Mus musculus: one gene and its partner. The protein of the gene in region 2 interacts with the protein of the main gene of each other region in a biochemical or structural test. Links are inferred from orthologs where the notes say so. Each region holds a gene or a part of one and is shown on either strand. Other genes may lie near its edges. The genes, in order: Fgfr3 and Fgf9.

Region 1 (15,441 bases), on a different chromosome or scaffold from region 2:
ACTTGAATGCCCTCAAACGGGGCCCGGAGGCCAAGGATGCGAAAGGGAGCCACGGTCCGCTCTGCGTCCCTTGGTTGCCCGGAGGTGCGACGCGCGCGGCCCCCGGCTGTGCCCGGTGGCAGCGTGGCAAAGCAGAGCAGCGGTCTGGCGGGAGGCCGCGCGAAGGGAGGCTTTCGCTCGGTAAGTTGTCGCCCCACCCGAGCTGAGGCCCGAACAGCCGCTCCTTTGTACCTCGGCGGCCACAAACCGCGCATTGATGGCGGCGCGGCCTCTCGGGGAGGTGCGAGTGCGGCGGGCGCAGCGGGAGGAGGCAGATGGCGGTGTGCCCCTCCCGGCGCCCCCGCGCCCCTCTCTCCAGCGGCTGCAGCCTCCTGGAACAATGTCATTTTCTTTCTTTCTTTCTTTCTTTCTTTTTTTTTATGAATGAAAGTGGGCCGGGAACTTGAATGTGCGTGTCTTTCAGCGGCGTGACAGAGGCGGTCGGGAGGTCAGCGCGCGCTTTTAGCGCCTGCTAGGACTGCCCTGCTTCCCGGGTGCCGAATGGCCCGCGAGGAGACCACATTAGCATGTGTATTCAGATGAAGATATTACTTCTTGCGTCGGGTGTCAGTGAGCTCGGGTAGGGGCGGCGGGGCGGAGCGCACACCCTCTCTGTGCCTCAGGCAGTGACGGTGGCCTCCTGGCACGACCCTGCTGCGGGAACCGAAGCTGAGCCGGGCCGCCCGGGATCGGTGGGATCGCCCGCCCCTCGCTTCTGCGTTTGAGCTTGTGAGACAGGTAGGGAATTGATAGGCCAATAAACTTAATCCGGTTCCTTAACGAGATGGGCCGGGCTGTAAAAATACAAAGACCTGGTGAAGTTTACAGAGGTCCGGGCTGGCGCTTTCCCTAGGAACATAAATTACCAAGCAGGAGCTGGCTGGGGTCAAGGGCTGTGCGGCGGGGCTAGGTACCGGCCTAACCTGGCCACCCTTGGTGAGGCAAGCCCTGCTGGTGTGCTTAGTGTGGGAGACAGTAACCCTTAGGGGATCCAGAAGTTGACCCCCAGGCCGGCTTGCAGAAGCAGGGCCTTCCACCTTCCTTGTCTCCCCCCAACCCTACCTTGCTTGCAAGGCTGGACTTTGAGCCCTGCTGGCCCTCCCAGTGGTTCATTAACCTGGGCTGATCTTAGACCCTGAAGCTTTGGCTCCTATGCTGAGCCTAGAATCCCCTTGTCCTCCAGGTCTCAGGTTTTACTTGGGACCTGGAACTCTCCCCCCACCCCCTTTTGTAGTTGGGCCTAGAAGGAAAACTAGTTACCCAGGGTGTGTTAGGGGGTAGATGATGTATTGGATAGAGGTGGCCTGCCCGGTTGAGAAATTACTGAGCTGTGAACAAAGCCACTTGGGGTTGGGGCCTGCCTCGGCTTGGGTCCTCTCCTAGAACCTAAGTCTCCTCACCTGTCCTGCTACAGAGGACTGGTAATGGCAGGGTTGTTGGGGGGATTAAACCAGATAATCCCCGGTAAGCCCTCATTAGCCCGCCCAGCCTCTGGAGTTTTCTTTCATTCTTCCTTTCTTGACTTTTATAATAAACTGTGGAAACTGGAATGTCTCAAGGTGGGATGGTGGGGAATGGGGAGGAGGAAGGCAGGCAAGAGACCCTTGGCTTCAAGGCCCCTTGGGGCAGGCACCCTCCTTTCTCTTGGGTTATTTTCCTCATACACCTGGCCATACCTCCCACACCAGCTGTGTTCACTATCAAAGCAGGTGTCACTCAGATCTGTGTCCTGGTTTTGCTCCAAAGTCCAAGTCGAGTTCTTTAGGGTGACCAACCTCAGACCAGGGTTGGATTTGATGCTGGTTTTGTAGTGCGCACGTACGTCTCAACAACAGAACCTAGGCTGTCAGCTCCTCCAGGCAGTGGATGCAGCCCTTCCTCCAGCTGGGCAGCTGTGGTCTCACTCCATTGTTTGACTCAGGGGGCTTCTGCATAGGCACCCCTCATTCCTACACCCCTTTTACAGACTTTAGACACTTAACCAGGGCTTTCTGGACCTTAGGTCTGCAAGTTGGGATTTGCACTTTGTGCTGTAGTGGATGAAACCGAGACAATCTAGGAGGCTCTACGCCCAGCACAACTTGATTGGGATACAGTGTCCCTTAGCCTGCAACAGTGAGCCTACAGTACCTAGGTCCATGTTAGTACCATATAGCAATGGGGATAGGTGCTATGGGATCCATGTGGTAGGGACATTGTCCTCTTAAAGGGCACAACAGAAGTACCAGTGCTTGCGTGCTGCGTTTGGCTCCTTTGTTGATGGGGCCTAGGGAGTTACTGGTGCACACCTGGAGGCTGATGGTGTGGGAGTTCCTCTGACCAGGGCATTGCTTCTACTGCCTCAGAATACAATATTACATATTCTGCATTGTCTCAAGCACTGTCCTTCCCTTATCCCTACCTGACTCAGGTCATAATTTCCTCTACGCCCTGTGACCCTAGAATGGTGGTTGTTGGTAGATGTTGTTACCCAAGGCCCCCAAAGTCCAGGTGTCTGGTTTCGCCTAGCTCCTAATGGACAAGATGGATGGGTGGATCAAAGGTTAGCTCTTTGAGCTGACTGAACATTTCCCCTCCAGCCATCTGCTTCTCCAAGGGTCTGGTTTGGGAGCTGCCATGTTCTTTTCCAGTCCCTCTTTGGATTCGGTTAAAGCAAATACTTGTGTGCATGGCTTGAGCGGTTGTCTTGCCCAGACCAAATTGGAACCAACTGGCTGTTGCCTTTGGGCCAAGGCCTGGACTGAGGCTCTTGACCAGCCTGTCCTTGCCCTTCTGTGGAGGGAGAACTCAAGTGGCTTCCAGCACTGGGTGGTCCCCATAGGACATGGTAGCAGGATTGGAGAACTGGAAGTCAAGACAGTTAGGCCCCTGGCTATGGGACCTCCATAGGGCAGCTTAATACTGTGGGGCTCTGAAGGACATGAGCTTTGGGGATATTTTAGGGATATTCCCTCTGTCTGTCAGAATCCTGGTGGACTTTGAGCCTGTGGGTTGTCTCTGGGATGGACAGAATTGGGCCTAAGGACTGGTGTGGCCAGAGTGGACAGCTGGGCCTTGAATCTAGGCCATGCGTCGGCGGAATGACAAGTGACATTATAGCCAGTCCAGCTGGATCTGAGGAAGGAGGTCTGCTTAGCAGGACCACCCACTCCTGTCCTGGGCCCCAAGCCCAGCCGCCCTGTGATGGGCATTGTCAGGTTCTGGCAGGGAGGCCTGGAGGAGATAGCCCAGCTGGTGGTACGTCCCTGAGGGTGAAGTCTTTGAGCCACCGCATGAGCTGGGCAGCACCTGGGCAAGGCAGAGGTGTATTATCTGTGTCCGCCTAGTGGAGGAGCTATGTTGCTTCAGTTCCTTAGCCCTCAGGGTGGGTGGCTGGCTCTACTTGGCTCACATGCCCACTCAGACAGTCCCCCTCCCCCCAGTCCTCATTTGTGAAATGGGGGTCCCATGTCCTCAGCCAACCTGTGAACTCAGGAGTCTCATAGCCCACTGACTAGAGGCCTAAGAGACCAGAATGGTGTCCATGTTTTCCTAGCTGGCTCATCTGTGAAATGGGTGTTGCAAGGCGTGGACTGTCCAAGCATCCCCTAGCTGGTATACTTTGGTCTCAAGAGGTGCACAACTCCTATGAACAGCAGCCCTAGGGGTGTATGCCAGCAAGGGCTGCTCACCCATGTTCTTGTATGACCTCATGTTGTCTTCTCTCTTTCCATTTATTTTGATTTTGTTTTTAAGACAGTAGCCAGGCTGGCCTTGAGCTTGTAGCAATTCTCCTGCTTCAGACTTCTGAGTGCATGAGCCACCATACCTAGCTTTCTCTTCCTGTTTAAAGTATGTTCTGTTCCCTGGCTCTCTATCCAAACTGGTTTAGAAGCCAAGATGAGGGTTGGGTGCAAAGAGGGTTCTGAAAGGGCTCCCTATTCTTTCTCTGAGCTTTGAGCCAAAGTCCAGGGAAGGACAGCCTGTCTCCAACCTGCTTTTGTGCCTCCCTGTGAGCTTAGGGCTGATTTTACATTTCCAAATGGTGGAAGGATCAGAGGAAGGAGAATTGGTGACTTTTTCGTGGTGTGGGGCTGAGCTCAGGGCTTCAGGCATTCTGGGTAGGTGCTGTACCACAGAGTTGTCTGAAACCCTTCTTGGCACTTTAAAGATGATTCAGGTATCAGGAGGGCTGTGCCTCTTTCAGATCATCTTGGGAAGACAGCTTCCTCCTGTAGGGCAGAGCCAGAAGCCTTAGCCCATGATTGACAGAGCTGAGATGCTGGGGCCCACTGGCTCTTACGAAAACAGTTTTCCACCCCTGGTTTGAACATTGTCTGGCAGGCCCCCAGGCTCCAGGAGCACATCCCTCACCTGCCTACATACAGCCCTTGCTTGTGTGTTTGCAAAGTGAAGTGCTGGGTCTCCAGCATGCTTCTCTGGAGACCCTGTTTCATAGTGTCCCATTTACTCCACAGAGGTTCCAGGGCCTGAACCTAGCCAGCAGGAGCAGGTGGCCTTCGGCAGTGGGGACACCGTGGAGCTGAGCTGCCATCCTCCTGGAGGTGCCCCCACAGGGCCCACGGTCTGGGCTAAGGATGGTACAGGTCTGGTGGCCTCCCACCGCATCCTGGTGGGGCCTCAGAGGCTGCAAGTGCTAAATGCCTCCCACGAAGATGCAGGGGTCTACAGCTGCCAGCACCGGCTCACTCGGCGTGTGCTGTGCCACTTCAGTGTGCGTGTAACAGGTAAGTGCTTGGTGGGTGGTGCTGCAACGTGTGTGAAACAGCTGTATAGCCAAGGAGATCAGGACACTCCTGGGCTGGGTGGCTGCAGCATCCCTGGCCTAAGATGTTGATAGCTGTTGATAGAAAGGAGGGGGTACCCCTAAGTAGGTGCCATCTGAATGAATGGCCTTGTAAAGGCAGGATCCTAAAGGTATGAGAGTGGTGGACCTCAGATATGGGAAGCAGCAGGTCTTTGGATATAGGGGTATCACAGAACCCCCACTTGGAACTTGCAGATGCTCCATCCTCAGGAGATGACGAAGATGGGGAGGACGTGGCTGAAGACACAGGTGAGATTAGAGTCTATGGCCACTGAGCTGGTCAGGGCCGGGATGCCTCTCTGGTGGTTAGAAGGGAACACTGCTACAGGTGGGTAGACCAGAGGACAGTGCTCCAGGAGCAGGGAGGAGGCAGGGCTGGTCTGCAGGGACATTGCTATTGACTCTAGTAGGACGGGGCACCACAGGGGTGAGGATAGCCAGGGATGCAGCTCAGATTGTTGCTGAGGAACAATAGATCCAGGGATGAAGGGCACTGGTGGTTGTTGGTTCAGGCCGGCAGGAGGGGACAGTGCTTGTGTGTGCTGAGGTGTACATTGTGAAGAGGACGTGTGTGTGTGTGTGTGTGTGTGTGTGTGTGTGTCTATGCAGACTGAGTACTTGGGCCATTTGGAGACTTCTGGGGAAGAGTGGACAAGGTGTCCTCCAGTGGAATAAAAAAAAAATTGGTGGGAAAACAGGACTGAGTCTCTGGTGTGTGGGGGCAAGGAGAGTGGGTACAGGGGCTTGTGTGAGATTTTAGAGTGGAATCGACACAGGAACCTAGCACTGACGCCAACAGAGGCTCCTGTCCTGGGGAGTCATTTGGCTTCTCATTTCCCTTTCCCCTTTGGCTACCAGGTTGTTGAGAGCAAAATTTCTAAGCCAGTTTTCCCCTCCCCTGGCTCCTGCACCAGCCATGTTACCAGTGGCCTTGCCCTGAGTTTGTGTCCACTTCTGCCTCCCTGGTTTTCCCAGGCTGCATCTAGTGCTTACACACCCCACGTGGGCTTCGGCTCTGAGGTGACTAAAGGGTCATCTTCTGGACCTTGCCTGGGCATGGGAAGCATTGGCTCACTGCCGTCGCTGAGTGTGCCAAGCTAATGGCCGCCCTGGGAGCCTGGGAGGGCAGCTCAGCATGGAGGGTTCCCTCACCAGCGTATGCAGACGGTTCTCTCCCCCTGTGCTGTGGCTCCTCCACCCACAGATGCACATGGTCCTATGGTAGAGTGTAGTGAGGTCACTGCAGAAGGGGCCTGCCTCCCTAGTCTGTCCTGGATCCTTGCTCTGTCCCTCAGCTGTTTCAGGAGTCCCAGCAGGGTGGCTTCCTCCACCCAGCCCAGAGGAACCAGAGCGCTCAGTGGGGGGAAAGCGCGACCTAAAGGAAGCAGGCCAGGCCCTGGGTACTGCAGAGGCTGGCTTGGGGTTTGCAGACTGGTGGGATGACCTGGCCTAGGCCTTCTAGGATCTGCATCCTACTGGGATCTGGGGACCTCCACTTGTGGGCCTGCACCCAAGGGTGAGGAGGAGATAAATTCAGATCTGAGAGTAGGGCAACTGGTAATGCAGTGTCCAGGCTCAGGCAAAGCAAAGGACTCTGAATCCAGAAGGGTAAACAGGCTAGAGGCAGGCAGGGGAGGTTCTGGAAGGCACTGGTTACAGCTGTTATGGGTACTTCTGCCATCAGGGGCTCCTTATTGGACTCGCCCGGAGCGAATGGATAAGAAACTGCTGGCTGTGCCAGCCGCAAACACTGTCCGCTTCCGCTGCCCAGCTGCTGGCAACCCTACCCCCTCCATCTCCTGGCTGAAGAATGGCAAAGAATTCCGAGGGGAGCATCGCATTGGGGGCATCAAGGTAGGTCTGGGAAAGAAAGGGGCCTGGGGGCAGGGGCTGGAGACAAGGGATAGTCTGCATCTACTCACAGACTAACTACCTGCAGCTCCGGCACCAGCAGTGGAGCTTGGTCATGGAAAGTGTGGTACCCTCCGATCGTGGCAACTATACCTGTGTAGTTGAGAACAAGTTTGGCAGCATCCGGCAGACATACACACTGGATGTGCTGGGTGAGGGCCAGGCCGGGTGGCTAAGGCAAGGGGCATCTCTGGGTCCCTTGGCCCTACTGGCCCTGACCTGACTGCCTCTTGCAGAGCGCTCCCCACACCGGCCCATCCTGCAGGCTGGGCTGCCGGCCAACCAGACAGCCATTCTAGGCAGTGACGTGGAGTTCCACTGCAAGGTGTACAGCGATGCACAGCCACACATCCAGTGGCTGAAGCACGTGGAAGTGAACGGCAGCAAGGTGGGCCCTGACGGCACGCCCTACGTCACTGTACTCAAGGTAGGCTCTATCCCCGGCTGGTGGCTGGCAGGGTGGGTGGATCAGCTGGGTCAGCCCTGGCCTTGGCCCATATGTCCCTCTTGGCTGAAGGATATGTTGGGATTTACCAAGGTATTGGAACTTCTGAGAAGGGGCAGCTTAGTTCCAGTGCATGTCACCTGCTCTGAGCTCTAGGCAGGCTCTGTGTTACTTGTGCCCTGCTGTGGGACTTGTCTGCTCCGAGGACTGAGCCTGCAGAAGTTTTCTCTTGGGTAACAGTTATGGTGGCTCAGGGCAGGAGGATGACTGCTGAGTTAGTACCCTCTGGACCCCAGGGGACTGGCTAGACACTCTCCAGCTGGCCCGGATTGGCTGGTGTCATCTGCTTGCATTTAGCACTGGCTCTGTCCTGCCCCTCCCTCTGCCTGTAGCAAGTTCCATACCCGAGTTCAGGACTTTGCGATACTGGAAGCCCAAAGAAAACAGCTGTTGAGAGACAAGGAGGTCTGGTTGGGGAAAGGAATAGGGATTGTTTGGAACAGGAACCCTGGCTGTTGAGAAAGAGGCCACTGGGGTCCTGTCTGATGCGTCTCACACTGTGGGCGTGGATGTTCACGAGAATAAGCTAGTTGCCCTAAAAAGATCCCTGGGGTGAGAGTTTAGAGGCTGTGGGTTACAGGTTTTCTCTCTCTCTCTTCCCCTTCCCCCAACCCCCGCCTCCTCCGTTCTCTGTGTGTGCGTGTATGTAAGCGTGTATGTGTACCTGTGGTGACAGACATGGAGAGAAGGCCTCTTTCTGAAACCACGCCCACCACTGCCATGACGTGCCTCCTCTCCAGGCGGCTTTCCAGGCTTTGCTGCCCAGCCCATCTTTGGGAATCTCCCTTGCCCTGCCTCATCCTCACATCCTTCCGTCCTTCCGGAGCTGGCTCGGGGTGTGCCTGAGCCCAGTCTCTTGTCCCCGCAGTCCTGGATCAGTGAGAATGTGGAGGCAGACGCACGCCTCCGCCTGGCCAATGTGTCGGAGCGGGACGGGGGCGAGTACCTCTGTCGAGCCACCAATTTCATAGGCGTGGCTGAGAAGGCCTTTTGGCTGCGTGTTCACGGGCCCCAAGCAGGTAACGACTCTGTCCCATGCCTGCCTGGCACGCTGAGCTCCAGCTTCAATGCCCCCAGCCGTGCACCTGCCTGCATGCCCTGCACGAACTGCCCTGCTTGACCCTGCCTGTGACTCCAACTCTACTTGTGATGCCTCAACAATACTGGTAGCCCCCAGTTACCACTGACTGACTGTTTGCTTCAGCGCCCCCTCCCCAAAGGCCTGTGCTGTTCTCTTGCATCCCCCACTTGCATACTCAGAAGATCTGTAGAGCCTATTAGGGGCCACGTCCTGCGTTGTGTGTGAGCATCGACCTTACACCCATCTCCAGCTGGCTGATGCCTTCTGGCTTCCTGTCCATCCATCTGTCTGGCCCATCTTTTCGTCTGCATCTCTCCTGTTTCTGCACTAATTCTGCATGCTGCCTTTGTGTGGCACCGTGCTGCCCACCTGCCTGTTGCTCACCTTGGGACAGAGGACTCGCCACTGGTGGAGGGACTGGCTTCAGGCTCGGTTGCCTCAGTGCAGGAGGCAGAGGGCCCTGGGCCTCTGTGGCTGTGGCAGGGCCATGGTGGTGGCCGAAGATGTGGTGGTGGCGGCGGCGTTTTCCTTGCAGCCTGGCTGGATCATCTCCATGTGAACTGCTATGGTACCCAAAGGGAGGTGCTGGCACTCGCCTATCGCGCTCTGTTCTCTCTTTGTAGACTGCAGGCGCTAACACCACCGACAAGGAGCTAGAGGTTCTGTCCTTGCACAATGTCACCTTTGAGGACGCGGGGGAGTACACCTGCCTGGCGGGCAATTCTATTGGGTTTTCCCATCACTCTGCGTGGCTGGTGGTGCTGCCAGGTACTGGCTTCTGCTGCTGCTCATGCCGCACCTGTCCTCTTAGGGTGCTGTCTCAGGACATGCCAAAGCTGCCAGGGACTTCAGGGGGCCCATCCTGTGAAACTCACCCAGGCTTTGTGCTTGGTGTGGAAACATGAATCTGCCCTGCCTGTCTTGGTCCTGCAAGGGCCTCTTCTCTAGCAGGGCCCCCCATAGTCCTGATCTGAGGCTCTGGCATTTCCTGGGTGCCTGGGTAGCGGTGTGGGTGCTTCTGGCTCTGCTGGGTTTCTCTCCTGGGCGTGTCCCCTGCTGGCTCTCAGATGTGTTTTGATTATACTACAAGGCGAGTGGGGGGGCCATCAGCCCCTCTTCTCCAAGTATCCCAGGTCCCTTCCCTCCCCCACTGGGGCCTGTGGTTCCGGCCGGGCCGGGGGAAAGCTTGAAAAGGCTGGATGAGGCCCCAAAATTTGTATCTTTGCAGCTGAGGAGGAGCTGATGGAAACTGATGAGGCTGGCAGCGTGTACGCAGGCGTCCTCAGCTACGGGGTGGTCTTCTTCCTCTTCATCCTGGTGGTGGCAGCTGTGATACTCTGCCGCCTGCGCAGTCCCCCAAAGAAGGGCTTGGGCTCGCCCACCGTGCACAAGGTCTCTCGCTTCCCGCTTAAGCGACAGGTAACAGAAAGTAGATACCAGGTTTTGAGCTCCCTGTCCTGCCTCGTGTCTCCTAGAGTCCCAGCAGGGCCTGGGGCCTGCCCGGGACATAGTTTCTGTGGTTGGGTGGGCTGATGCCTCCTTATCTCCATATGGAGCTCAGGTTTTCTCTGAGGTGCAAAACATTTTTAGGAGTCTTAAGTCACCACTGTATAGAAGTCCGAGCAGCTAGCCCTTTTCTTGGCTCCACACCTTGCCTCATAGGCTTGACCTTGCCATCCTGGAGGCTCTACCACCCCACCCCTTTTACAATGCCCAGCCCACCCACGTTGTATGGTACCAATTTGTCCTGATGACCCAAGCAGGTGTCCTTGGAATCTAACTCCTCTATGAACTCCAACACACCCCTTGTCCGGATTGCCCGGCTGTCCTCAGGAGAAGGTCCTGTTCTGGCCAATGTTTCTGAACTTGAGCTGCCTGCTGACCCCAAGTGGGAGCTATCCAGGACCCGGTCAGTGGTGGTGAGGGACAGTATGTACTTGGTGGGGTTTAGTATATACCTGGTGGGGGTTCTGCGGTTGGGGGCTAGGTAGCTACTAGGCAGGGCCTTGTTGGAGGTATCCCCGAGATACTCCAGGGTGAGGTTTGAGGGGTCATTCTTTGTCTTCATGAGCAAATGCCCCTAGGGTTTCTGAGATACAGTGGTACATGACCCATGAGGGCTGGGGGTGCTGGGCACACACTCACTGCCTCTGTTTCCATGGTCAGGCTGACACTTGGTAAGCCTCTTGGAGAAGGCTGCTTTGGACAGGTGGTCATGGCAGAAGCTATTGGCATCGACAAGGACCGTACTGCCAAGCCTGTCACCGTGGCCGTGAAGATGCTGAAAGGTGAGGAGGGAGGGAAGTAGAGGGGCCTTTGAGGGCTGTGGGGCTGTCAGCTGACACCTCTGTTCCCGGCACAGATGATGCGACTGACAAGGACCTGTCGGACCTGGTATCTGAGATGGAGATGATGAAAATGATTGGCAAGCACAAGAACATCATTAACCTGCTGGGGGCGTGCACACAGGGTGGTAGGTCAGGTGGTTGGTGGGCCCACTGGTGGATGGCGCTCTGGAGATTGACAGCATCTCTAAGGTGCCTGTGCTTCCAGGGCCCCTGTATGTGCTGGTGGAGTACGCAGCCAAGGGCAATCTCCGGGAGTTCCTTCGGGCGCGGCGGCCTCCAGGCATGGACTACTCCTTTGATGCCTGCAGGCTGCCAGAGGAACAGCTCACCTGCAAGGATCTAGTGTCCTGTGCCTACCAGGTGGCACGGGGCATGGAATACTTGGCTTCTCAGAAGGTGGGCAGAGACAGGGACCAGGCCAGGTGGAGCCTCTCTGAGTGGAAGACCGGGTGATCGTTTGCCTGAGCTAGGGAATGGTCATCTCAGGTTCCTTTTGTCTCTTCAGTGTATTCACAGAGACTTGGCTGCCAGAAACGTCCTGGTGACCGAGGACAATGTGATGAAGATTGCGGACTTTGGCCTGGCTCGAGATGTGCACAACCTGGACTACTACAAGAAGACCACAAATGTGAGCCCTGGTCCTGCATGGTGGGGGTGAAGGGTCCCTCCAGGAGGCCCCACCCGAGAGCCAACACCTCTCCCTCTGCCCAGGGCCGGCTACCTGTGAAGTGGATGGCACCAGAGGCCCTTTTTGACCGAGTCTACACCCACCAGAGTGATGTGTATGTGTCCCTACATAGGATGGGGGTAGGGAGATCTGAAGAGAGAAGAGATACAAATTGCACTTTTGCAGTCTTCAGGGTCCTGGTCCGCTCATTGGGCCACCAGCACAGCCCTGGCTTCTCTTTATCCTAGTGCCCTGCTTTGCCCATCAGTGGTATGTCCTGGTACAGGGCTGCTGCAGTAACAGGCCAGGGGTAACAGGCCTTCTATCCTCAATTCCCTGCAGTTGGTCTTTTGGTGTCCTCCTCTGGGAGATCTTTACGCTGGGGGGCTCACCGTATCCTGGCATCCCAGTGGAAGAGCTTTTCAAGCTGTTGAAAGAGGGCCACCGCATGGACAAGCCAGCCAGCTGCACACATGACCTGTGAGCCTTGTTCATTCCTCTACAGTCCAGTCCCTGGGGTGGCAGGATTCCTACCAGGGCCCTTGGAATGTGTAGGAGACTGGTGGCCTGGAGGGAGGTTGGGGTGGGCAGGAGGCCAGGGAGCCATAGCTATACTTGCCGCAGGTACATGATCATGCGGGAATGTTGGCATGCGGTGCCTTCACAGAGGCCCACCTTCAAGCAGTTGGTAGAGGATTTAGACCGCATCCTCACTGTGACATCAACCGACGTAAGTGTCCCTCAGTCCTGCCCCCTCTGTGGCTGCCTTGCTTATTTTAAGTGTTGCTCTTTGGAGCTCCAGTGGCGGGGCTGGCCTTTAGGGGGCATAGCCTGAACACAGATGGCGTGGGATAAAAGGGGGTGAATGCAAAGGGACAGTCCTGACAACCATGTCCACCAAACAGGAGTACTTGGACCTCTCCGTGCCGTTTGAGCAGTACTCGCCAGGTGGCCAGGACACGCCTAGCTCCAGCTCGTCCGGAGATGACTCGGTGTTCACCCATGACCTGCTACCCCCAGGTCCACCCAGTAACGGGGGACCTCGGACGTGAAGGGCCAACAGTCCCACAGACCAAGCCCCAGGCAATGTTTACGCGGACCCTAGCCCGCCCTGCTACTGCTGGTGTGCAGTGGACCCTAGCCAGCCCAGTGCAATGGGCCAACAGTAGACAAGACTTCCTGCGTGTTTATCCTTGGCTCCTGGGTGCAGAGGCCCCTTGGGAACATGCACTGCTGTAGAGTAATCTCCTGACTGGCCAGGGCCAGGAGCACCAAACAAGAATGTAAGAGGCCCACCCTGTGCAACCCTGGGGTTCTGGCCCTCTCATTTCCCACTGCTACCTTCCAGGGACCATTGTGGAGAGGGCTAGACTCCATGTCCAGAGTGGGCCTTGGCCTTCTTGGTGCCCCAAGCTGAGCCTACAGGGAGGCTCTGCTCTGTGTGGCAAACCTCTCTCCTACATGGCACCTTGTGCCTGGGGGTGTCATAGCTCGACATCTCCAGGCTGCCTGCTTTCCACCCTGCCCCTCAGAGACAAATTACGGGTACCTGAAGGGGGGGCATAATGTCTATCAGAAAGGTTTATTCCAGAGGAAAATGTACATTTATATAAATAGATGTTGTGTATGATATAAATATATACATACATATATATAAGAATATCTATATGGAAAAAGGCAAAGTTGAGGCCCAAGGGAGCAAGATACTCCATGGGTCTCACTAGGAAACTGGCAAGAGCAGGCTGAGAAGCAAGGGGCTTTTCTGGCACGGCAGTTTTGTTTGTACTGGACCTGTATATTTGTAAAGCTATTTATCAACCCCCAGAGCGCCAGTCCCCGACCCCAGGTTCATAGCGTTTAGTCCCAGGGTATTGCAGCCATCTTAAGTTGTAACTTATTAACAGCGGAAGAGGTTCATGCTGGATTTAGGGAATTGCTGAGAACGTGCGTCTGGCCTCCACCAGGCTGGCCGTGGCCCCTTGGCGCTTGAATGGCTCTCCTAGTCAGAGCTGGCTCCAGGGAGCATTTTCTGTTGCCTTTGGCCCTCTTTTGTGGGGGATTAGATTTATATAGGAACTTTCTTTAGGAGATGTTTAAAAATTTTAAGGTGAACTGGTATTTTTCATACAGATTATTCTAATTGCTATGTATTCCAGGCAGGAGCCTGTGCCCAGGGAAGGGCTGGCCCTGCAAGAAGGTTCAGATGTTAATAGTTATCTGTTACAAGTTTATCTATCTATAATTTATTGAGTTTTTACAAGTTGTTTTGCTGTAGGCTTAACACTTCCTATGCAGTGCTTCTAGACTTTTATAGCCTAGACTGCTACCTTTCAAAGCTTGGGAGACAGTGGTGAATGCAATTTTGTTACTTTTGTACTGTCACTGGGCCCTAGGCTTGGGTGGCTGTCCCTTGCCTGTCAACCAGCAGGGTCAGGACAGTGGCTCAGGGTGACTTTCTTGGGGCCTAGCACATGGTTTGTCAGCCCACACTGGCAGATGTGGTTTTGTTAACACAACCAACTTACTTTCCAAAAAATAAAGAGATAACTGGTTCCATGAGTGCCTCGATTTCTGTTCTGAGACGGGTACAGCTGTGTCCTTGTTGCCTGTGGGGACAGGTGGGGAGGTGGGATAATAGCACCTGGGGAATGAGCAGCCTCTGGCTGGTCCCTGGAAGAAGGTACTGGTCCCAGGCTCCAAGGGACCTTGCTTTTCTTTCTCAGGGCAAGGACAGCTGGACTGCGGGGTGCCTTTCTGTGGCCTAAAGTGGCAGATTGGTCCGGGTTATCAGAGTCTAGAGGTGCCAAGGACAGGATTCAAGCAAGTTGTGTCCATAGGAGGGGACTGTGGATATGTATGTGGAGGAAGTGTTTTGGGTCTCTTCGGTCCCCTGGCTGTCCTGACAGGGAAGGGATCTCATGAGGACAGAAGGTGCTTAATTATATTTGAAAGTTCTCTGGGGAAAAGGCAGGTAGCCAAACCCCCTGGTTTAAGCAATCTGCATTGGGCCAGGCAATCTCTGAGTTTAAGGCAAAGCTGGTCTACACAATGAGTCCCAGGACAACATAGAACTTAGGGTTTCTTTCCTATATCCATTTTGTCTGTCATACTTTCTAACCTTGGGAGATGACCTGGGGACTGAATAAATGTCCATTCTAGGTTCCCTTCTTAGGATCAGGCCCACCTTATAGGTGAGGGCATTTTTTTTTTTTTTTTTAGTAAGTCAAGATGGCTGGAGTCTTGGTTCTAGACTGAAATAGGAGCTTGAGGATCTTCAGGTGAGGTGTACTGGGTTTTAGGGGAAACTATAGGCCTTGGCACTGTTGGCTACTCACAGGAACTTCTTGAAGGGCACCAGATAGTTTCAGGGACTCAGAGCCACACAGACACATGATGATAGTGACCAGGCAGAAGGCAGCTAAAGGATCTGACTAAAGCCTACAGAACAGCGTGTGTGCATATACGAGCACGTGTGTGCAAGTATGTGTAGGGGCGTGGCACCAGGAGGATATATTCTTTTTTTTAGGAGGATGCATTTTTATCCCTGAAACAAGCTCAATTACCCAAGAGAGCTGTGTGCCAGCCTGTAGCGCCCTCTAGTGCCATGCTGAGCATAGCTTTGTATGGTAATCTGGACGCCCTTTTCAAGTCCAGGGCTCTTGTTAGATCTAGGGAAAGCTAGCACCAAGGGGTTGGTCCACAGGGACAGGAGTGGTCCTGAGAGAGTCAGGGGCCAGGTCAGGCTGCTGCACCACCAGGGTTTCCTGGGCGGCCACTGCATAGGGAGGATATAGTATGTGTGGCTCTATGTCATCAAACACCTGCTGCTGTCTAGTCTTCTCTGGAGGACTCTGCTCCACTGCCTTGCCTTTTCAACATGGTTGGTAATGATGGTGGATGGTTTCTTGGCCTGCTTTGGCTAGTACCAGGAACAGGCTGGCTCCCAGGACACTCCTGTTTACTGCCACTGGCCTGTGGCTGGCTATTATTCTGGGTTGGGGTAGATCCTAGTGTTCAGAGGACCAGCAACAAGAATTATCTTCTGAGTAGGAGAGATGACTCAGTGATCTATTTAGAGTACTT
Region 2 (16,186 bases):
AAAGCCATTCCTGTCCTTTGAGAGGCCACACGATGATCTGTCTCCTCTACACACAGGGCAACTCAGAACTAATATCCCATCAACAGCTCAGCCAGATCCAACAGAGAATATGATTTCACAAAAACTACCTCACTGGCTGGTCTGAAGAATAGCAAGAATAGTAGTAATGACTACAGTAAGTGTCACGTAACAGCCAGAATACTTAAGCATGAGAAGTCCTGTCTTCTTCAGTCTTTAGGACAGTCCTGGGCACTGCAATGTCTTCAGCCCCATAGTACAAAAGGACAATTGAGATTTCCTCAAGTCAATCAGACTGTAAGGCCTGTTTCCTTGGATATTATGTACACTGCTGCAGTTGGCTCTAACTTTTGGGGGGTTGTATCTGTAATTTCTTGCTATTTTTATACACTTAACTTCTGAGACTATTGTTATAAAATATGGGGATGAAAATATTAATATTTTATCACTTTTCCTAGTTATTGATAAAATGGTTAAACTACATATGCTTTCACTTCTTTAGACAGTGACCTATTACTGAGGGACTATATTAACCAACCATCATGCTGCCTATTAAATATAAAAATATGAAAGAGATATGTAGTGGAGGCCCTGCCTCCTGCTCAGTGGTAGTCATTCACTATCTGTGGAGAGACATTCCTTGCATGCCTGAGGCCAAAGCACCCCAAACCCTATTTATACTGTTTTATCCTGTACATATACACTCATGACAAAATTTAAAACTAGCCCCCGTAGGGGGTTAATAATAACTAATAAAAAATAGAACCAGTATCAGATAGTGTAGTAAAAGGTGTTTAAACTTTTGAATTATTTCTGCAATATTCCACTTAACATTTTCAGACACAAAGCTAACAGGGGAAGGGGCTGCTGTAATGGGAAGAACAATGGACAGAGCTATGGTGCCAGTGTAGCTCACACAGTGGGAGGCAGATGTGCAGGGAACAAGAGGGCACAAGTTCAGTGGTTTGTTCAGGTACAGACGAGCAAGCCAGGGGAGTATCATTTAAAAAAAAAATCTGAAATGGGTCTGGGGCGGTGTCCCAGCAAGAAGCAGGACCCAGTGACCCCAGGGGGAAATATTTTGTCACCTCAAACCATTATCCATATCCCTGAAGTTCCTTTAGAGTAGGAAAAAAAATCCAAATTTTTATGAGGTCACCCCCATAACTCAAGGGCAAGCAGAACACCAAAATGTGTGAGTCATGGTCTTTCTCCCACACCCAGAAAACACCAGTGTGGTAAGGTCAGGGAGACCTGGCAACAGGGTAACCAGACCCCACCCCATCCAGACTGGAATCGTTATCATTCCTGGTACCACCTTGTCCACAGTGAAATCTACAGTTCTGTGCTCCAGCAGGTCAAGTCCTCAGCTGGTGCCAAGCAAGTGCCTCCAACTGCCGTGAGGTCAGAGCACTCCTTACACTAATCTGTTGACCTGTGTGAAGCTGAGTAACCAATATGGACAATACTAGATCAATGACAACCTGCGAGACTCTTCTATAGAGATGGGATGTTTCAAGATCAAGGAGAGAAGAAAAAGAAGAATAAAAAGAAGGAAAGAGGAAAAGGAGAATAATGGGTTAGCCTAAAACCAACATTTTGGCCTCTCTCTCCTAGCACACACAACCTAGATGGCATAGGCTCAGAAAGGCCACAGTAAGGAATAGTAATTGGGTTGCAGATCCTTTCACTTCCTCCATAAAGAACCATTTCTATAAGGACCACTCAGGGTCTCGTAGAGGCTGATAAGGCAAATGGTCACACACTTCTTCTGGAACAGTCCCAGATTAGGTCTCCCTCCTCCCAGTCTCATTAACCCCTGTGTCATTAACCACATGTTAGTCCACCCTCCTAGAATCCACTTATGCTGTGCCTCACCTCTAAAGCCAGCCATAGGAAATAGGAGAGCTGACAGACAGAAGCTCTAACCCGTGCCCTCTTCAGATCAAACAACAAAAACATACAAAGCCAGTATTGTCGGCTTCGTTGACCACCATAACGAGATCATAGAATCTTACAATTTGGCTACAGGACATAGAGAATTCAACCTCAAACCAACCAGGAAACTTCTATTCTACTGGCTAGTTTTCATGATGATAAAAGGGGTCATACAGACCACTGGAGAAGAATTATCAATGGTATCGCCCTCTATGCTACACTACTACAGACCTGCCAGGTAAGATGATCCCACGAGCACAATAGTGGTATAACCATTATAGGAATAACCAACTTCTCTCTGCTTGGACTTAAGGCATGATTCACAGGAGAGAATTCACACCTGATACTGTAAACCTAGTCAAAAGCCTGTGACTGGCACTTTCACAGGCCCTGGGGTAGAATCTGCTGTGGTGATTTTGCTAAACTATCCTGTTGTCAAGTTGCCTTTTAAATAGTCATGTCTGTACTTCCTCTCACTTTGGTTTCTAACCAAGGCTTCTTTTTTGCAATGGGAAACTGTTAACTGAAACTGGGAGACTCCTAATTAAATTGCTTAGAATAAGTGACTATGGATGCTCATCCCTAAAGGGGAGGGACATCTATATCACCGCCACCTTCTCCAAAGTTCAGAGAACACCTGGAAAAAGAGGGTAGAAAAAAATATCAGAGCAGAAGACTACGAGGTGCACTGTGAGACAAAACATGGCTGTCACACTCAAGAACTAGTAACAACTAAGGTTACATGCCCAAGACTTGCACAGGATCAAGCCAGTCAATGCCCCAGCATGGATGAGAGAAAGGCTTTGTAACCTCCCACACCTGTGGGGACTTGGCCAGTTGACAGTGCTAATGGAGCAAGAGCCATTTTTCTTTGAGGGTGTGGCTGCTGATAGGTTGCCCAGGTTTCATTAGATAGCCCCATCTCCAAGAGTGTGTGTGTGACTAACTAGACTCAGAAAGAGAAAAAGGAGGCAGCAGCCACAGCCCCCACCATGAAGTTATGGGACCTGTGGAAAGCTTCCGGGGCAAGTCGGAAGAGGGAAATAAGAGGTAGATATGATCAAAATTCATTGTATAAATATATGCAGTTATCAAAGATTAATATGCAACAGCACAGTGGAGTAGCCAGTGGTCCAGCAACTCCACAAACTAAGGCAGAAGGAGCTTAGCTCAACAGTTCCAGGCTAGCCTGGGCATCAGGGTTACTCCGGTGACTATGTTGAAGAAGAAACAGGAAAGTGAAGAGACTTAGGAGGAAGTGAGAAGAAATGGGGCGAAGAAAAGAAACGGTCCAGATTCTACAGAGAAATACCGCATGAGGCTGTCAAAAGACAAAGGTGAAACTGAACATGGTGATATTGGCCTGTAATCCCAGCATCTGGGGGCTGTGGAAAGGTGGACTAGTAGTTCGGGGCTAGCCTGTGCTACTTAAGACCCTGTTTCAAAAGAGGGTGGAAGGGGTGATTGAGCCCCTCTCTTCCACAGCTTCCTGATTATGCACACTAGCCACCTGGGGCTCCAGGGGGTCTAGGAATACCTGAACCAGCTTGAACAAAACTAGGTTCCCTTAGGAAGTAGCAGTTGAATGGATATCCAAGCTTTCTGCAGTAAGTTCAAAGGCCGCTCTGAATTATGAAGGCTTTTCTCTGTACAGTACTGAAAAGCCAAGGCACAAAGAGTTGAATTTTGTCTTTTTCTGCAAAACCCTGAAAATAAGGTTTAACTTTGTTTTATTATTATTATTTTAATCACGCCAGTATCTTTCTCCCACCTAGTACCACCAGCATCTGAAACCCTACTCCTTTAACAGGCCAGGTCCTGCCCCTCAAATGGCTTACCAGCAGTAGTGTCAATCTAGGGTTCTAATGCCTCTTGAGTCACCACCCCTGAGGCCAGCAGGTAGGCCTGCTTCAGCTTCCACAGGCCCAGCGTTCACTTTTTTTCATTACTCTGCACTGCCTACTTTATTTTTGTTCATTGTCTTAACAGCTATCAAGGCCAGAAAGCCCTTCCAAGTGAAAAACTCACACTTGCTTCCCAGATCATCACTCAGAGACAGGACCCCATGGTCCCTTCCTCCCAGCTCCCATCACCCCCAAGGAAAAACAAAGGGCTCCTCAAGGTCCCACCTTCAACTCCCCGGCCCGGCTGCAGCCCCAACAGCGCTGAGATTCCCGCACCCCCACATCCCCGGCCCGGGCCGCAGCCTTGCCCCGCCGAGCTTGCCAGCAGCGGCAGTCACCTGCGGCGGCTCAGGGGCGGCAGAAAGCATTGGCCCAGCACGTTTCCTTCTGCCTTTCCTTTTCAGGTAGAAAACGCACCTTCTATTTTAATCGAGGTGTAAACCCACCCCACCTACAGCTACTCTAAAACCCAGGGAGAAGTCGAAGTCCCCCGGGAGGAGCCAAGGAGGCGCGGAGGCCATGGCTGCGGGGAGGGGGTGGAAGGTGAAGCGGCAGTGGCGCGGGCGCCAGGTGCGCCCCGCAGCCCCTCCGCCCCGCCTGGCTCCGGGCCGCCAGGTCCTAGCGCCGCCGTAACTCCCTGCGGGCGGGGCTGAGGAGGCAGGGCGCGGAGGCTCCCGGCACACGCACGGCGCTGCAGAGGTTGCTAATATTGGGACCTGCCGCAGAAGCAGCAGCGGGAGACCGCGGCACTGCTGTCACCCCGGGGGCCCGCTTCTCACTGCAACCGGATGAAAGACTTAAATAACCCTCCTTCCCCACCCCCACTGCGCACAGCCGCCCACTCAGCTCCATCCGAACGAGGGTGAGTGGCACCGCCAAGAACCAGGCGCGCCCTTCCCCCCGCGGCAGACACCGGGCCGACCTGCTATACTTGCACTGGGGGGTCCCCAGCATGGGCCGGGGCTTCCGCTTCCCTCCTACCAACACCCCCCCCCCCCACACACACACACACACACACTGTGCGGAACCAGAAAGTAGAGATGTCACTTCCTTGGCGACACATTCTCCAACCTCTAGGATCGGGGCGGGGTGAGGAGGTTGGGGCTTTTTGTTTGATAGTCTGGGTTCTGCGGCGGGCGGTACCTGCAGTCCTTCTTCGCTGACCCCTGAACGCGCGCGCTCCCCGCCCTTGCATCCTAGCACAGATACTCAGTATCTGATGTATCAAGTGCGCGTGGCAAACGTCCTATCTTAAAGGTGACTACTGCATTTTTAAAAAGAAAGAAAGAAAAGCTGGGAGGTGGGGGCGAAGGTACGTGGAGGGGTCCGAAGTGTGAGGGCTATCCAGTGACCTGGGCCCAGTTCTGAAGCACCCCGGGTTGGGACCGGGAAATGCACACAATAAAGGTGGCTTTGGCTGGCCGCAGCGCCCCTGCAGCCCTGCGCTCCGAGTGCAGCCGGCCTTCTGCTCCTGTGAGACTAGATCCGGATGCCTTCCCTAGGCTAGTGGTTAACAATAGCATGCCACCCCCTGCACCGCCTGCGAGGCCCTTTGTCACCCCCACCCCCACCCCTGCTACTGTGGCCTCGCCTGGCCAGGGGCCCCCGACCCACCTCCCAGACCCAGCGGAGCCCTAGGACTCTCCCAAACCCTGCTGCGCGCTTCAGAAAGAAGGGGGTGACCCTGCGTGAGACCGCAAAGCTCAGTTCCAACCTCCAGTCTGTCCTCGTCCCCGCCACCAACTCTCCGGCTGCGGTGCGCACCTCCAGCGGTTCCCACACCGCACACCACCACCGCGCTTCCTCGGGCGGCGGCTGTCAGCGCCACCAGACCCGCACTCACACACAAAGAGAAAGCAAGGGGACTGGACAGGGGCAAAAAAGAAAAGTCGGACACCCGACACGCGACCAGAAAGGTGTCGGTCCCTGTCCTCCCTCCCCTGAACCCCAGCGGTCCCCGCAGTACGGAGGGGCGCACAGGAGCACCGTGGAAAGGGAGTTAGAACCCGAGCGCTCTTAGGACCGCGCGGAACGAGAGCGACGCGGGGCCGGGGGCTGAGCCCGCACCTGCCGGCCCGGAGCGCGGGAGGACCGGGCTCCAGCTGCCCCGGGCATCAAGCGGGCTGCCCGGGCATCAAGCTGGCTGCCCTGAACCCTAGGACACTCGATCCCCGCCGCCACCGGCCTCCCGCTGCTTGGCTTGCTCCAGAAACCCGGCTCCGTAGCAGTCCTTAAGGTGGCCAACTAGACAAGCACTCCAGTAAAGTTTAGTCTTCCCTAGCGACAGGCAGGCAGCAGCGGCGTTTACTTACGGGGTGGTGGGAAGATAGTTAGGTTAATCAGGTTAGCATTCGAAGGAATAATCGCAGCAATGAGCTACACTTTCTGTTTTTAAGCAGCGAGGGGGACACAAGTCAAGTGGGGAAAATTGACTGGGTTCACTTTTGAGCCCAGCCTCAGTAGTGAGCCAAGGGGGAAACCCTGGGCCTCAAGAATCTAGACTATCTTCATCCAGGCCTGGACCCTCCTCACCTCCCGGCAACATCCACAGACCATGAAGCTAAACACCTAGTTTAGATTTCGTTCAACATCTGGCATTAAGGCATGAGGAAGAAAAATCACCACAGGACTTGGTTTTACGACCTAGTCTAAGTGTTGTCAGGTGGGTTCACTCAGGAGTTAACTCCTTCCAACAGTCTGGTTGCCCAAACTGTGGATTTATTTTTTCTTTTTTTTAAATAAGGGGAAAAACCTAGATTCCACACACCCCGCCCCCGCCCCAACGCCAGGCAGAACTGTGTTCGCTGACTTAGCACTGCACCACTGAAGGTGCCCCGCCAGGCACGTGTGTGGAGGCACGAAAGTGGGCAGAGTCCCCACCTGAGTCTGCAGCCTTCGGTGCTGAGTCACAAGTACCCTGCTCGGAACGTGAAATCTTCGGAATGCCCTTTAAAATGAGCCTGCAGCTTTTGCAAGCGCACGCAAACACTCACACCAGAAAGCCACTCAGGAAACCCACACAAGGCTACACGCTGTGGAAATTAAAAAGCGGAGGTTGGGAACCAACGGATGGAAGAGCCGGCACCCCTAGTGGGATTTCCGCCCCCACTCGGGTCAGTTTCCCCAGGGGCTTCTGCCCCGGATGTTTCGGATCTAAAACACGACTTCAGTGCTTCCCCCAGATCACCCAGCAATCTTTGCCTGAGAGATTTCAGACCAGCCACCGGGAATAAACGACACGCTTAATTTACAATTCAGGCAGAATGCTTATTAGAGGAAAAGGGAAGGGAGAAAAAAAAACTTAATTTGAGCAAGATACCAGCTACCTACAGGAAACTGGATGCAGTTTAAAGTTCTTAGTGGTTAAAGCTTTAAACTAATGGAAATGGGTCCGTTTAAAAAGAAACTTCTTAAACCTTATCGTCTCACATATCAAATGAAAAAACTTGGGCTTTGGGTTATATTCATACTCACACTCACACACCCTCCTTTAAGAAAAATAAAGAAGAAGAAAAAGAAAAGAAGGGCCTTCTGAGGGTGAAGTTGCACCAATGCCAGACGCAGATCTGCAATTCCGGAGGCTTTTTCCCCTCCCTGGGCTGGCAAGATACTCAAAGATGTGGGGGGCAGGGGTTATGAATATGAGAATATAGCCCTTCGAGCATCCCCGCCTAACCACCACCTTTCTGGTAGTTAATAATCTGACCGTGTCAGCGCGTGGACAGTGAGGGGTTAAAGGCATACCTACCGAAGCGGCTGTGGTCTTTCCTGGTTCCCTGGATAGTACCGTTGGGGAAGATCTCTAAATGAAATCCAGTCCTGCAGTACAGCTGCCTCCGCCTGAGAATCCCCTTTAAATGATCCAAGTCCGTGACTGCGGGGCCCCGGGGCAGCCCCCCTGCTTCGGACTGACCCAGGTGGTCACTTAGCAACACCGGACTGTCCACCGGCAACACCGGTACGTTCCCGAACGGTACCGCGTCCTGCACACCGAAATAGCTCCCAACTTCACCTAAGGGAGCCATCAGAGGACTCGGCTTTTAAGCACAAGAATAAACAATAATGATGGTATCAACCAGGAGACACTAGGCGAGGTATATCCAACTCCCCTCCCTTGCCGCAGTTGCAGACAGAGAGGGAAAAAGGGTTCTTTTCTTCAATCCATCCGATGCATAAATAAAAGTAATCGGCTGTTTCTCTGGCACAGGTTCAAGGTCAAACCACTGATAGTCTAAGAAGCCACCACTTTATACTCACACACTGACATTGATCAACACAGCTATGCATCGCTACATATGGAGCCTCGACTCTCAGCAGGCAGAAAGGTCTTCATCCCATCCGACCGTAATAAGGGAAAAAAATCCGTAGTTTCTCCATTTGCTTAGAGATCAGAATGACCATAGCAACGTAAGTGCCTGGGCGATATTACAGGGATTTTTAAGATGCTCGGGCTACGTCAGAATTTACGGATCCTGACTCCAGAAAGGCATGCGCTGTTTTTACTCTCTAACCGACTCTGCAGACATCAGCATGAATCCTTCAAGGGGAAAAAAAAAATCTCACGTTGGCGGCGGCGACAAATCTCTCCTCCCAGTCCCTCCTCCAAAAAATAAAGATAATATAACAAAAAGAAGGGGGAAAAAACTTTCGGCGTCCAAAGCTAGTATCCAGAACGCTGCAGAGGCTCTGCGGAGGTCCAGCGGCTTGCAGTGAGGCGAGCGGCAAGCGGCGGGCGAGGACCGCGTCCCGGAGCTCGCGTGCTGCCCGGGCTGCCGCGAACAGGTGTCGCCGCGCGGGCCGCGCAGCGCCGTGGCCGCGGAGCGCTCCTCCTGCGCAGCCCCCGCCGGCGCGCAGAGTGGCGCAGGCGGCGGCATTGGGCCGGGTTTAAGGTAGCGCGGCGGCCGCCCCGCTCCGCCCGGTCCTAGCGCCCGCCCTGACGCTCGAGCCGCTCTGCCGCAGGCCGGGCACAGGCGGGCAGAGCGCGGGACTTCTCCGGGAGGACGACCTAGGAAACCCGGCTTTAGAGACGCCGGAGACGCGGTGCCAGAGACGGGAAGCAGCAGCCCGAAGACATTCGGCCACAAGAAATCTAGCTTGCTAGAGACGCAGGGTCAGAGGGGAACTGAGAAAGCAGTTTTCGCGCGGACTCTGTAACCTTGCGTCGCATTATAAAATAGACTGGGAGGGAAGGGTTGGTGTAGGGAGCTTGGTTGGACAGGGCAGTTTCTCTTTCATTCTACAGCCAGACTTACAGACGCGCAAACAATATTGCAGGTAAGACAGTTGGGTGTGAGTCAGATTCTTCTCTCTCTCTCTCCCTCTCTCTCACTCTCTCTCTCTCTCTCTCCCTCACACACACACACACACACACACACACACACACACACACACACACACAAAACACACACACTGGTGGGCCCACACTCGGGTTTGTTAAGGGAATTCTGGTTCGCATCTTTGAGTTGTTCGGGTCCTGCCTCCCCCCAGGTTCCCGCGGCTAGGAGCAAAGGGCACCCAGGGCGCCTGAAAACAGCCCCTGTCCTTGAGTTCGACTCACGCCCCAGATCTGAGTGTGCGTCTTCAGGGAGAAGGTTCCAATGAGTTCTCTCTCGCCCCCAAACAAAGCTACTCAGGACGGGCTTTGCCACCTTGAGCTCTACTTTGCCTGGAAGTGAAAGGCTCGAGTTCCAGGGTTGCTCCATGGCCCGAAGCTCTCTGCATAGCCTAAGAGCCAGACAGGAGCCGCCGGCTGGGCACGGGCGCTGTTCGCTGCTCAGGGCTCGCTCGCTGCCGCGGGTGACTTGGAAGCCGGAGCTCTGGTCCCGGGCCAGGGCTTTTGCTCGAGGCCAGCAGCCTTTGAGCCCAGCCCCATGCAGGGACAAAGAAACGCACTGCCCAGGGCAGCCAGGGGCAGGGGCCGCCGGTGGCGCTGTACGCGCCCAGCCACCAGCCAGCACCCCGATCCGCTGAGCGCGGCGTCCCCAACACAAGCACTGTCTCCGCAGCCCGCCCGAAGGCCTGGTCGTCGCCCCCCCCCGCCCCCCCCCCCCCACGCTCCTCTTTGTTCACATTGTCTTAGACTCTCGGGTCAAGATGGTGAAAGTTGCTAAGACTTGAGCGCAGCTCCCGACGGCGTGCGAGAGGGAAGCAAAGTCCAAAGACCAGAGCCCTGCAGTAGAGAAGCAAATAAAAGGCTTTTTTCTGGGGGAGAAGTCAGCCTATGGCGGCGAAGCCCTGGGGCTGGCCCTACTCCGACCAGAGGGTTTCGCCCCAAAGACGGAGGAAGCAATGAATTTGCAGATTTCGCTGGCGTTGGAGGTGCCCATCCCTGGAGCGACCTTCCCCTGCCCCCGGGATTAGAAAGCGTGCTCCCGCAAGGCCCCAAGGGAAAAGAGTGGGGCCAGGTGACCCTCCCCTCTGTCCACTCCCACACCTCTTTGCCGCAGTCTGGGGTCATCGGGAGTCCGGGCACTGGCTTCTTGAGTCTGGCTTACAAGTTTCCACTGCAGAAGAACCCTGCTGTGTGGTATTTACAGCAGTCTCATCCACGGTGTTAGAGAGCAGGCTGTAACGCTAACTGCCTAGTGGCAGATACAAGAAACTGGGAGGAAGTGACACTTCTCATAAACCATTAGAGTAGCTCGCATTAATCACCCCAAGTCGCCAAGGGCCGTGGATTAAGCAGGGGCGCTGCCTTTGTACCCTTTGGGTACAAAGTGCCAGGTTGATTTTTTTTTTTTTTTTTTTTTAATGGTAGAAGCGATCGAGAGAATGAAATGCAGACAGGAAGGCACTTTGTAAAAGGATGGAGAACAGGGCGCAGACATTTCCTCCAAGGCAGTTTTTCCACCAACTGTCTCCAACCAAGTCTTTTCGGTCTGAATTTAGCCTCTTAGCCTATGAGCAGAGATCATTTCCGCCTTTGAGTCTTGAAGCATCCTGTCCCTTTAAAAGTGATGCAGCAGTAGGAGAGAGTAAAGTAGCTGACCCAGCACTTTTGTTGGTAGAAACTGCAAGCAGCCCTTCGCATCTCATTCCCACTACAGTTAGTTTAGCTCCTTTCATCTGCATCCCTAACTCTGCCTGCAAGCTGCTTTCCTGACTCCCTGCCTCTTTGCTTGCCCATCAGGTTTCTTTGCTACTTACATTTGGTCCTTTCCCTACACAGTGATAGAAACGATGACCTTGCTGTTTCCCTGACCTTATAACGTTTCTTTCCAAGCAGTCAACGGGCTCCCATGGCAAAAGGTTTCAGGATTACTTCAGAGCTATACCATAACTACAGACTCCCCACATTCAGCTTGTAGGATGTTTTTACCAATACTCTTCAATGACTTACAACAAGATGGTGGCTTTGCTTTCTAGACACACATGGTACAACTAACTAACTGGCTTCATTACACCTGCCTGGATGACTGACTTTAAGAGAAAAAAAAAAATGCACATGAAGCAGGCATAGACAATAGACGCTCAAGCCAGCTGCCCTCGCCATATCCTTCCTCTTTGTATAGCCCTTAGTGCATTTCTGCACATTGGGGTATTCAGTAGATTCTAGTGGATCCCAATCCCCAAATTCTCTAATGCTGTCTCTCCTCCAATGCCTTAATCCTCTCGTTTCTCATTTTCCCCCTTTACCTGTGTTTTCTATCAGGATATCATTTGTCTTTTCTGCTATCACGTTAGTGCATGGACCCAGTCTGGGATAAACAATGGGATGTCAGGGAGCCTATAACAAGGAATAAATGCCCCAAGCATCCACAGATCTGCATCATGGCATCCAACATTCTACCTATGCTCACTGTGGTAAACAATGTTCCCCCCACTTCGTGGGTCCCCATGAGTTGCTGTGCACCCTGGCTTAGATACACATATATAAACATGACCATAAGTCTTCCACACATTTGAAGCAGCCATTAGTTCTCTTCACCTGCCCTTCTTTTGTCCATTAATTGGTGTGTCCTTTGTACATATGTACACTCGAGCGCGCGCGCGGGCGCGCGCGCACACACACACACACACACACACACACAACCAATCAGCACAGAATCCTTCCATTCCCTTCCAGTAACAATGGCTGTGTAACCAGGTCACAGCCCTCCATTTTCTATTCCCTCCATTCTCCCAACCCCACCCATACCCTTCAAGCTACTAATGGCACTGGGTGAAAGGGGAATGGTTTGGGTTCCCAGGCTGACCTCATGGAAAAGTTTCAACTTGGTAGGCATGGAACCATTGCAGGGAGGCCTGGCTTGCTTCCAGAGCTGCAGACATTCCAAATACTTTTGTGCTTTAGCCATTTTATTCTCAAAACTGACTTCGTGGTTACTCTCAAAACTGATTTCATGATGTGAATGCTATTTTGTTGCATTTTTCCAATGAGAAGATTGTGGTTTGTGAAGACTAAGTAACACACCCATCACCCCATTGCTAACAAATGGTGAAGTCAAGTTCGTACACCTCAGAGCTACATGGCACAACAATGCCATGTATTATAAGAGACACACTCTTGCAGAACATTTGATGGCACATACCTATACTCCAGCCCTCAGGAAGCTGAGGCTGGGCATTGAAAGTTCAAAGCCACCCTGTCCTATACAGCAAAACCTACCTCAAAAACAACCAAAAGTAATCTGGCAAGTGTGTTTTTACCAAATAAATATTCATGAGTAAATAATTAGCACATGTACTTAACAGCCTGTGGTTCTGAGTATGTAACACAGTTAGATACATTCTATAGACCCCAGGTAGGGAAAGGACAAAAAAATAAAAGAGCACAAGAAGCATATGAAGAAAGGTTTTTAAATCTCCCTATAGACACAAAACATTTTTGAACAAATTAAAAGATATAAATAATATTTCTAAATAGAAACAATCTCAATTTTGAAAATATATAATCCTTCCTAGAGTAATTTAAAAGCTTAGCATGATTACGGTAAGAGTAGTATCAAATTCTCTTATTAGCTACATTGATGCTAAAGATAATCTAAAAGAAAATTCACTTTACACATTTTTTACCAAGAAAAATTGAGAGATTAACTGACTATAACTATAAGTACCCTACAATAATTTCAAATATCTTTAAATTCCAGTAGATAAAACAGAATTATAATATAAATAACCAGATAGGACAACAATAGTCTACACATTTTTTAATCTGAGTACATAGTTGAATTTAATATAAGATAACTAATAAGGAAAATAAACTAGTGAGTTCTGAGGGAAGGGAAGGGGGAAGACGTGAGTTTTCCTTCACACTTGAAATGAGGTCAGAGCTCAAGTGGCGCTCAAGTGTAAATTTAAATTGTCACAAGTGCTAAAGGAAACAATGGAGACCTTCCTTTACACTCTGAATGGTAAAAGCCTTTCTAATTGCAATCCAGAGTTCAAATGCCTGAAAAAAAGAATGTTGAAAAATGCAACCACACACACACACACACACACACACACACACACACACACACAAGTAGCTGCAGAGGAGGAAACAAAATTCAAAAGAATGAAAGGTAAAATAAAATAAACTTTGTATATCAAGTTGAAGACTAATTTTCCTGTCTATGAGCAGCCTGTAATTGATTAGGGAACACACAGCCTCTGCTGGACATGGTGGCACATGACTGGAATCCCAGCACTGGGGAAGTGGAGGCAGGGGGTCAGGAGTTCAAGGCCAAACATAGCCAGTTCAAGACCAGCTGGCTAGAGGAGACCCTTTTTCTTTTTCTTTTTCTTTTCCTTTTTCTTTTTCTTTTTCTTTTTCTCTTTTTAAAGCTTTATTTATTATTATATGTAAGTATACTGTAGCTGTCCTCAGATGCACCAGAAGAGGGCATCAGATCTCATTACAGATAGTTGTGAGCCACCATGTGGTTGCTGGGATTTGAACTCAGGACGTTCAGAAGAGCGTGTTCTTAACCACTGAGCCATCTCTCCAGCCCCAAGAGACCCTTTTTCAAAAACCTAAATTATAATAGAAATGGCGATGATGATGATAGTGATGATGATGATGATGGTGATGCTGCTGATAGTGATTAAAATAATAATAACAACAATAATGGTCTGATGTCTAGTCTGATATGTGAGCCTGGACATCATCACTCCTGTCCACAAAGAAAAAAAGCTGAACAGACTGAAAAATCAAGAACTCATCTTGAATACTTAGAGAATTGAGGTCATGAGGCAAATTGCTGGAGAGCCAGGCAGACATCAAGTCACTGCTTCCAAAGCAGAGGAGAGCGGCAGCAGCCACACCTGGAGCCCAGTGAGTACCGTTACTTCAAGTTATAATTTCTGAAGGTTCGGTGTGCGTAAGTGTGAGAGTTTAAAAAAAATCCCAGGGGCACACTCTCAGAGGACCCTCCCCCCTTTCCTGTAACTCAGATGACCCTCCCCCCTTCCCCAAGTTTATTTCCAGAAGTTTTCTCAGGTTCCCACTGTGAAGACCTGAAAAAGAATCCCTCCTACTTGCTTTGGAAGAGAGAGTACCGTTTTGGAATACACTCAGAGCTCCATTTTCCTGATCCCAAGGAAACTGTTTTTACCCCCAGCCTGTCTAAGTGGGAGGAGAGATACCCAACTCCAACATCTCCTGCCTTCAAAATGCCACTGATTAACAGACCAACCTAACCATAGTAATGCTTAGCGCATCCCTCCTCCATACCTGCCATGGTTGTCATTATCAATTTGACACAATCCAGAATCACCTGTGAAGGAGTCTTGATGAAGGATTATCTACATTCAATTAGCATGTGGGGTTGTCCTGATTAGGTTAATTCTTGTGGGAAAGCCCAGACTAAAAGAGGGAGACACTGTTCCCCGTGTTTGGGTCCCAAACTGCACAAAAGAGAGACTATCAACTGAGCATGGACGTGTTTGCATCCTCTCTACACTAGATACTCTCTCTCTCTCTCTCTCTCTCTCTCTCTCTCTCTCTCTCTCTTTCTTTGTGTGTGTGTGTGTGTGTGTGTGTGTGTGTGTGTGTGTGTGTGTGTGCATGTGTGTGTAGTTGCTTTATGTTCCTGCTGCCCTGGCTTCTTTGCTATGATGGACTGTGACCTGGAATTGTGAACTAAATAAACCCTTTCTCTGCTAAGTTGCTTTTGTCAGAGTATTTAATCACAGCAACAGAAACAAAACTAAGGCCCTGCTTTTCTGCAGGGGTAAAAACACTGAAAAGTACTGGAGAGGAAAGGACGGCAAGATTTAGGTCTTATATTAAATGATTTCTAGCTGAGGCATATTAATAATGTTTAAAACATAAAAAAGGCAGCCCACCGTCTGCATGATGCAGTTACATCACTTCTCAACCCCAGCAAATGCTAAGCAGTGTTCAATAACGACCGTGGAGTCTGGAGCTGGTTAGACTAGCAGTTTTGCCCTTCCCAGTACATCCTTCCAGTAGTTAACCTCAAAGAAAAGTCTTCATCCTTGTTTCCTCCATTCTCAGTTTTCCCCAACTTAAGCTTAATCTCCACTCAGGCTCCACTGGAATATCTTATTGGTATCTGCTTCATTTGTCTCCAACTCTGTGTGTTATATTAGCGCTGTTAATGAGGTCCAAAAGCTTAACAACACTTCTGTCTAGATGTGAAATGTCCTCATAAACAGGGACTTGCTTACCAGAAGGAAGGAAGTGCTGCTTCCATGGGAGGCCATGAAACTTTGAGGAGGCGGGACCTGGGTGAGAGAGGTAGGCTAGCAGGAGATTTCTGTGTAGGTCTTGGCTTTCTGATCCCTGGCCTGTGAACATATGCATAGCCACAAACCAGTGTCACCCCTGGCCTTTCTGTATACTAATCTTGAGACTAGGAGGTACAACTTTATGATAGATTGCTTGCCTAGCATGCACAGTGCCCTCAAAATGTCCCATCCACAGTTCCATCCGCAGAATGACAAAAAGAATCTTTCTTCTGGCTTTTCCAAATGTCCTGTGTATTCTTGTTCTCCATAGTCAGCTTACTATGCGTTTCACAGTGTTATTATGGTTATGGTGTTTAAAGTCTTGTACTTTGTTCTCTATTAATTTGTTCCATGCTCTGCCTGTGGCTGGGGTAAACTGAGGCACCTAAATCGCAGAGAATCCCTGACACCAAGTCATTTAAGCATGTGTGCAGCAGAGAGGTGGGAGGGGGCCCTCCCAAGTTCTCCCAGGGCCTGGTATAGCTCTACACACCCTCTAATTTAAAGACATAAAAACGAACAGAAATTTTCTCATCAGGCGAGTTAATACAGCGCACGTGCACTTGGCTTACAGAAATGCATGGATGTGGACCCACAGTGAGATTTAAAGTCAGGGTGGGGATCCCCACCTTAGATTTTGATAAAGATAAATT

The links.
Region 1: the proteins of Fgf9 (region 2) and Fgfr3 form a complex in vitro, tested with the Homo sapiens proteins (3 studies listed by BioGRID and IntAct, with this or other methods). The link is inferred for Mus musculus from reciprocal best matches to the Homo sapiens genes FGF9 and FGFR3.

Annotation. Positions count from the first base shown.
Region 1 is NC_000071.6:33,723,151-33,738,591, forward strand, and holds the end of Fgfr3 (fibroblast growth factor receptor 3 isoform 1 precursor), read left to right. Parts: intron 1-621; exon of another isoform or gene 622-777; intron 778-4,496; coding exon 4,497-4,766; intron 4,767-5,041; coding exon 5,042-5,095; intron 5,096-6,530; coding exon 6,531-6,700; intron 6,701-6,785; coding exon 6,786-6,909; intron 6,910-6,993; coding exon 6,994-7,184; intron 7,185-8,130; coding exon of another isoform or gene 8,131-8,281; intron 8,282-8,966; coding exon 8,967-9,111; intron 9,112-9,571; coding exon 9,572-9,762; intron 9,763-10,103; coding exon of another isoform or gene 10,104-10,106; coding exon 10,107-10,252; intron 10,253-10,509; coding exon 10,510-10,631; intron 10,632-10,705; coding exon 10,706-10,816; intron 10,817-10,896; coding exon 10,897-11,087; intron 11,088-11,196; coding exon 11,197-11,319; intron 11,320-11,402; coding exon 11,403-11,473; intron 11,474-11,700; coding exon 11,701-11,838; intron 11,839-11,982; coding exon 11,983-12,088; intron 12,089-12,263; coding exon 12,264-12,410; 3' UTR 12,411-13,918; downstream 13,919-15,441.
Region 2 is NC_000080.6:58,064,755-58,080,940, reverse strand, and holds the start of Fgf9 (fibroblast growth factor 9), read right to left. Parts: upstream 8,256-16,186; 5' UTR 7,886-8,255; coding exon 7,609-7,885; intron 5,422-7,608; exon of another isoform or gene 5,056-5,421; coding exon of another isoform or gene 5,004-5,055; intron 1-5,003.